Linked DNA regions of Drosophila melanogaster. The protein of the gene in region 2 purifies or fractionates together with the protein of the main gene of each other region. This does not show direct contact. Each region holds a gene or a part of one and is shown on either strand. Other genes may lie near its edges.

Region 1 (4,392 bases), on a different chromosome or scaffold from region 2:
GAAATCTGCCGCGTATGTGTTTTCATTTTTGGCGAAAACAAAGAAAGACTCGGCGATGAAATGCAATTAATATGCAAGTGCCACTCATTGTGATGGTACTATTCTGGTCTATTACCTTATGGACCGAATCGCAATTATGGCGCAACTTCAACTTTGGACTCGAAAGTGTCAGCCACCGAGCTCAGCATAAATATTCGAGCGGAAATTATCAACAACTGACATTAAAATCGGAGCGGGAAAGACGCGACTTTCGGCCGGAGACGATCGCATGCGATGAAAACGCGTCCAAGTCGGAGGAATACCGCCGTAGAACTGATGACACACCCGGGCCGAATGCTCGACTTTTGTAGCGTAGCGAGCATAAAGAGAGTGCGTTGAAATGGGAAATTCATTATTTTATTTTTAAACGTCGTCGCCCTCTCTATTTTCGCAGATTGGCTTTTCCTCGCTTGTTTCTTGTTTCGTGGCAGATTGATTTATGGATTTCGGTGCAACAGGTGCTGGCCAGTTGACAGAGCGCCGAAAGTCCGCCGGACACACCCACTGCTTCCAATCTGGAAAACTGATTGGGACACAAAGCTGCATCCAATTTGCATAATCCCATCAAAGAGCACTTGCACCCAATTATGATAATTTCGGCTTGACGCACTAGGCATTATTGGCTTCGAAAAATTGGAACTGCAGTTCAAATTCAAAAACAAGGTACGGAGAAACTAAAACAAGAGGGAACGCTACAGGCGAGTTCCCCGACTATTAGATACTCCTTTCTCTGCTAGTGAAAGTTCAAACATGAATTTCAACATTTTCTGACATAGCAATAAAACTAAATTAATCTCTCTTATATATGTAGTTCCTGAGATCTCGACGTGCATACGGACGGACATGGCCAGTTCGATTCGGCTAGTGTTCCTTACCAATATATGCTTTATTGGCTCGAAAAACACTTCCTTTCACCTGATACATATTCGTTGAAAAAGGAATCTAGAATACTTCTTTTTTAATCTACGAGTAATATTTTTCATCGCGACCCGTTCATTAATCATTAATCATTACTAAATCTTACTAGTTCTGCCATTTGGTCTATAAGACATATTGGAATTGGAATGCAATTCAATTCATTTTAGTCTAGCGTTTGTACTTTTAGTAGAAATAATTCTCATATGGATGGAAGATTTCAATCGGAGTATTAAAACCAGCCCTCATTTTCTAAAATCGTGCAAAAAAGATATGAAAATTAAAGTATTAAGTGCCATTAATGCCATTAAGAATAGGTTTGGTTTTATTTTTCACCAGCCCACTTTTCAGATTAGCAATGCTAAACTCTCAGCATTACCTTTAAAAAATCGTTCTCATTTGCGACTAGTTCGAATATCTATCTACATTCTGCCGAAACTAACTAGAGAAAAACTGAAGTTCTACGTATGTAAGTATAACACATTTATTCTACACAGCATTAGCGAGGTTACACACCTAGCGAAGTCATCCTCCCAATTAAAATTTCCCTAAGCGGAGCTAGTCACCACGACCACATTGCCACTTTATTAAAACTAATAACTGTTTAATAACTGTAATAGAATAAGTTAAAATAATTAAATAATATGACTAATCACGTGTTGCTAATACAGTTAAAAGGCTAATTATTTAATTTAATTAATGTTTTGTAAACAGTTTCCATGCAGATGTATTAATAGTTTCCATGGCAGACTTTCTGAAAATGAACATTCTAAAACTTAGCGGAATTTCCCCTCTCTTTCTAACGGTTATTTGCTATGCTTTCAAGCGAAAGTAATCGATGGTAGCGAGGAGCGTATCGATGTGCGCCAGTTTTTTGGTGGCAGCGATGGTATCGCACACACATCGATTCTAGTGCCAGCCCTATTTTTTGTGCAATTATTTATTAAAAATAAGCAACGACGTGAGCGAACGACACGACCCACGAACGAAGGCAACGAAATGGCAACGCGCGGCGGACCAATGGTCGCGGGCACCGATGGCAACGACTTCGAGTTCAGGCAGCGCGTAGCTGGCACATATCAAATTAGGTTAATAACACTTCGTGCTATCGCCAGCTCTCAGCTACACTCGAAATTATCTAATTACTGGGGCGCCTGTGGCAGTAGATCCACCTGCAGGCGGCACCTACTGCAGCCGAATCGCAGGTGGCGTCCAGCCAGGGCGGCGGAGCACCCTGGAGCTGCTGCACCCACCCACTTGCTGCTGTAGGGGGCGGGTGGGCAAAGTGCCAGCTGGGCAGCATGTGCGCCCCAATATGGGGCTCACCCACACAGATCCGCCACTGAACGACCACTTTCTCTGCTCTTTTAGCCTGCTGAACAAGTCCAGGTTGAAGTACTGCATCTTCTTTCACGCCCTGCTGTTCTTCGTGATGCTGGCCAAGCTGACGTCGGACATTCTGGACCACCTGGATATCTTTGTGCTGGAGATCGAGGAGCTGGAGGTCCCACCGCCCCTGTGGTGGGAGTACGTGTGGGCCGCGTCGTTGCTCACCTCCTTCCTGGGCCTTTCGGCCGCCAGGGGCAACAAGGTGCGCGAAATGCAGAAGTATATGGTGGCCATACTGCTATTCGCCATCCTGCCACTCTTCTACTGCTTCGCCTACTACTTCTCGGACGTGTGGGAGTTCGCCACGCTGGACAAGTCGGTGGAGCTGGACGAGACAGACATCTTTGTGTGGCGCGTAAGTGGCTGGGCCAGTTAATCCCTCAAGAGCCGCCCTACTAAACCTCGGTTTTTCTACAGGGTTATCCGTACGGCGTCTTCTGGTATGCCTTCTGCTTTGTGGGCTTCCAGGTGCACGGATTTACGCTGTACTTCGCCTACAACCTGGTCAAGGCCTGGAAGGCCAGAACTGCCACGCGCAAGTTCCAGTAATCTAAATACTCGCCAAACTAGTAAACGCCGGAATGCAGGGCTAGTTGTAAATAATTTGGAAACTTGAAACTAACTCAAAACACTAGTGCACAAAAGCGTAATGAAACTATGGTAAACTAAAGTTATGCAGCTGTTAAGGTATCGCACACTTAGTCATACAGGAAGGGAAACATATGGTCGAAACTGAGCGAAGCGTCGGCGGTAAGGTTATTGTTAGTTGAAAGTTAGTTGATACCGTTTTCAAATTGATTAAATAGACTCTTATCCATATACACATGTACACCTATACACATAGACATACATATATACACACATACGCAGCCTTGTGAGGTCAACTAAAGACAAGAAGCAACTGAAGCCACCAAATTTCCCCGAGTCGGAATAAAAACTGAAAACCAACCTAGAGATCACTTCATTTTTGCTCACTTACATTTCGACGTGCCTCGTGTTTGTTAGAAACGTTTTATATATATATTTACACATGAAAATATGCGTACATCAGTTTATGTTTGCGTCCACGGATGGTTACTTCCTCGCCTAGTTGATAATTAGTTCACTTTTCTACAAATTTCGAAACCGTTTCATTTTTGCCAGTACGTTAATTTTGAATTTTATTCATCGAACCGCACAGTGCCATGCTTTAAGGCGTCTGGCCGGGTGCTGAACGTTTGAGAACTGCCCCAAACTATTTACAACCTTCTGTCACTGTTTACACACTACTATAAATAAGGATTGAAATGCAATTTGAGTGTTAAAGCAAAGTTCTTCAATTTCTGATCGTCAATAATACTGTGTAATGACAGGCATGTCGCCAAACTAAACTGAGAATTGAATTTTAATGTAATGATGTTTTTTAAATCGTAATTTATTATTCGAATTTTTAAGTAGTTTTTTAAAAATCGATCAATAAAGATGCATATATATTTGTTCTTCTGAGTGGGTTAAACATAGCATTTTATTGCGGTTGATTTAAAACAAATTTTGATAAGTATACCTATTAAGTCACTTAATGTTTATATGCTCATCTACAATATTTATCATAACTTTAAAGAGGCAAATACAAGTTCTCAAGCTTTATTTCTTGAAAAACACCACCAAATAAGGACCTTCGCCCAAAGCAATACAATCCAACACAACCCCACAGGCCGTTGCAATGCGGCTGGCAGGCCGAATTGGCCACAACAATCCAGTTTTAGTGACCATTTGTGCATCGAGGCGAGTGGAGGAGCAACAGCAGGCGAGCATTGCGCAATTGTTTACAATTGGCGACGGAGAGCCAGGAAGCTGAGACAGAGAGAGAAAAAGCTGTGGCGGAGAGCCAAAGCTTTTCCGCAGCATCCTTTTCTCCCTGCTCCGCCCGCTCTCTTAATTTTCCATTTGTACATTGCCTGTGCGAAGAACGGATGCCGAATTTTCCAACACACCATTTCGGACCGAAGTAAACACGAAAACTAAGGAAAAAAAATTGTGAAAAATTCAAAATTACGAAATTACTCGCAC
Region 2 (3,454 bases):
TTGTTTATTTTTTTTCCGCTCGTCCATCGCTTCCCATTTTTGTACTTTTTCTTGTGTAAATGGGAAAGAACATTTGTTTCCATTAAACTCGGATTAAATGTTGTGAAACACATTCGCCGGGAAAGTGCTTCATGTACCCATTTGAAAGCGGAAACTTTAAGACCCAGGAACACAAATTGCGATTGTACTTGTGTAAACAGTTTTTACTGGACCATTGGCCAACGCTATTAATAAGAATTTTTAACACAGGTTACACCATCGCCATTTTCCTCCATTCTGTAGTCTATTCCTTGCTGGGCTTATCCCCAGATCCCTCGGCGGCCGCCACCAGAGAAGACGACGATGTGGATGGACGTAGTACCACGCTGTTGTCGCTGCTCTCACTGCTCGAGTCGCCCACATTCTGTTCGATGCTAAGAGATTCGGCGGGCGGAGGAGGAGCAGTGGCAACAGGAACTGGTGGCACCAAGTTTGGAGTCCCGATGCAGATGCGTTTGGATGGCGGCGGAGCCACATGACCCAGTCGTGCGTTGGACAGAGTTGTGCCAGAGGAGACGGGCTCGAATGTCATCAGTTCTCCGAAGTAGACGTGCTGGATCACGGGAAACTTGGAGAGAATCTGTGGATAGTTTATAGTAGTTTCTGAGTACTAGGTATTCAATTAAAGCTACTTTATATTAGTCATATTACTGACTAAAGATTACCTCCTTTTGGTACATCTTAACTAGTCCCGCGTTGATCTTGGCCCATGTTGGCACATCCGTGATGCTCCACAGCTGGTTAGAGTGCTCGCCAAAGTGTCCAGTCTTGACCTTGCAGATGTAGTCGATGCAACTGATGAACATGAAGTGATCCTTGTACTCGGTGATTATCGCCTCGTCCACGAACTTCGAGGGATCAAAGGGACTCTTAACTGAAAGGAATCGTTTCAGAAAGGAAATCTTGGAGGAATCCTTCTTAATTGTTTACCCGCCAGCTGTGCACTGCCCCAGATGAAGGGCACGAACTGGAAATCGTCCAGCGACCAGACTCCTTGGCTCCCAGCGGGTTCCATGTTGTATGTTCGCTGCAGCTGCCTGGCGAGCTCAAGGTACCGATTGAAGAGTCTCAGCGCAGCACTCACGATGTCCCTTTCCTGCAGGATCTCCGCCTTGAACAGGGAGCACAGGAAGAAGAGGAAGGACAGCTCGTGGCCGGTGCCGTAGTCGATCCTGGTGGCATTGCCGAAAGATTCAGTGAGATACTGCCCCAGCTCCACCTGGTATCGCTTCTTGTCGTCTGGCAACAGCTGTTCTAGGAGTTCGGGCAACAATTCCCGCATTGCCTGCGCCCAATCCCTGTAGGCTTTGTTTCCGAACCGCTGCGGCTGCTCCAATGGAGGATTTTGCTCTACCAATTTCTCCAGTGCATCGAATAGCCGCAGCAGCTTCTTGAGCATTTCCGACTCGAAAATCTCGTCTGTGGTTTTAATGCCCTGAATGGCCGAACTGGTGCCATTTATATATCCAATTAAATCGTGGAAGGCGCGGGATTTTTGCCAAACGCCCATATCGCCGAGATTTTGCACCTTCTTCGCAATTGCCGGCAGTTTACCTGCAAATGGAGTGGTTAACTAAGCTACGAATCTTCAGAAATTCACTCAGCCCACCTGCTGCTTGGTTAATGCCACTCGCCATTATAGTTGTTTCGTTATTTAACTTCAATTTAAAGCTATTTTGATCGGGAGTTACGTTTTGTTTGTTATTTTGGGGGCATCTTCCTCTTTTTCTACGCGAGCGCAATAGTGACATCACTAAGTATGACCAAATATAAAGGCTGTTCACGCTGCGCAGCTGAAGCACATTAGTATCAATAAGCCAATCGTTTGATGTTACATATAATATATTTTGAGTCTTATAAAAAAATTCAAATCGATTAGGCAGTTTAAAACTTAAGACATTAACAGTACAATGACATGGCTTACGATGCAGCTGCAAGCATAGATGCTGTCTAGTGGAAATACACCAATGCAGGGGGAGTATCGTACAAGTGTCCATCCCTATTCGATAGATAACAACAAACTCCGCCTACGCCGGCAAAATTCAGCGACACCGCCACGAAAATTGAAAAATCCGTGATATATTTAAATTTATAGTTATTAAATTATTAGTTCATCATGATCGAGACACTGTATAACCTGCCCTTCCACATCCTGGTGCCGCCGAACATCAAGGTGCGCAGATTCAGCATTCCAATGCCGTCACCGATGGCCGTTTTCAGTGTGATTTTGTTTTCCTATTTTCTGGTGACAGGCGGTGAGTCCTAAGCTTTCTATAATTGAGATTGGTTAAACAGAGATGCAAATTGGCCCGCAGGTATCATATATGACGTGATTGTGGAGCCGCCCAGTCTGGGAGCCACGGTGGATGAGCACGGACACTCGCGTCCAGTGGCCTTTATGCCCTACCGTGTGAATGGGCAGTACATCATGGAGGGCCTGGCCAGCAGCTTCCTGTTCACCGTCGGCGGACTGGGATTCATTATCATGGACCAAACGCACACGCCGGGCAAGACGAACCTCAACCGCCTGCTGCTGACCGCCATGGGATTCATTTTCATCCTGGTCTCCTTCTTCACCACCTGGCTGTTCATGCGCATGAAGCTGCCCAGCTACCTGCAGCCCTAGAATCTCTACTGAAAAACGCTCTCTTAGTACTCTCCCACATTCGAATATCTGTAAACCGAACTGCATTCGCCAGAAATTCTAGTTTAAAAGGCTTAAAGCTGCGGAATACCAAACAAAAACTTTGATTTCGTTTTAAAATTTTGTGTAATAGTTGTAATATTGTTTAAACAGCAGAATAACTGGCTGGCTTTCATCCGAATCAGTTAAGTAAACTATAGAATGTCTCTATTCCGATGCTGTCGAATAAATAATGCAATTGTAAAGCGACTCAAAATAACAATGAAACGAGTTAAGCATTGTTTTTTTTTGGTCGCTCAAGTGGCTCGCCGAATTGAGAATGTGGAACCGAGGAAACCAAACATTTTGGCGTCCCATGGCTCTCAGTTTGCATCGTGCTGTTGGATCGAGCAGTTCACTAGTTCGTCGGCAGAAACCGATTCCTTCGCCTATATAATTTTAGAATCTATTTTTACCCCTAAATATAAGGTACACGCATGTGTAGAAGTGCGCCATTAGCTGATATTGGGCAAATAGTTACCGAGGAACGTTAGAAATACTCTAAGGGAGCAGGAAAACAACCAGCATTGCGCCTGCTACCAAGTGATGTAACCACGAGCAAAACAATTCCTCTAGTGCGCTCATCTCCCAGCGGCTTCTGCGTCGTATTTTGTTTACCTCTGGGCCGAAACCATAACAGAGACATGTCGAAAAAGTGCTCCGTGCGATCGCTGAGCGACAGCGCCTTGGCGGAGCTGGCCAATCTCTTGGTGTCCACCATCAGCTACGCGC

What was found. The genes of interacting proteins can lie anywhere in the genome.
Region 1: the proteins of CG9662 (region 2) and jagn purify together in Drosophila melanogaster (affinity purification with mass spectrometry, with the first as the bait; one large-scale study listed by BioGRID). This does not show direct contact.

Annotation. Positions count from the first base shown.
Region 1 is NT_033777.3:5,777,475-5,781,866, forward strand, and holds jagn (jagunal), read left to right. Parts: upstream 1-1,840; 5' UTR 1,841-1,953; coding exon 1,954-2,042; intron 2,043-2,325; coding exon 2,326-2,698; intron 2,699-2,760; coding exon 2,761-2,892; 3' UTR 2,893-3,834; downstream 3,835-4,392. UniProt on the Drosophila melanogaster protein: Required for endoplasmic reticulum organization and proper vesicular traffic during vitellogenesis. Required for oocyte and bristle growth.
Region 2 is NT_033779.5:3,375,321-3,378,774, reverse strand, and holds CG9662 (uncharacterized protein), read left to right. Parts: upstream 1-2,037; 5' UTR 2,038-2,155; coding exon 2,156-2,294; intron 2,295-2,354; coding exon 2,355-2,665; 3' UTR 2,666-2,943; downstream 2,944-3,454. Other genes in the region: Ptpa (phosphotyrosyl phosphatase activator), read right to left, coding at 284-619, 705-913, 970-1,593, 1,649-1,676; CG15412 (uncharacterized protein), read left to right, coding at 3,367-3,454. UniProt on the Drosophila melanogaster protein: Subunit of the oligosaccharyl transferase (OST) complex that catalyzes the initial transfer of a defined glycan (Glc(3)Man(9)GlcNAc(2) in eukaryotes) from the lipid carrier dolichol-pyrophosphate to an asparagine residue within an Asn-X-Ser/Thr consensus motif in nascent polypeptide chains, the first step in protein N-glycosylation.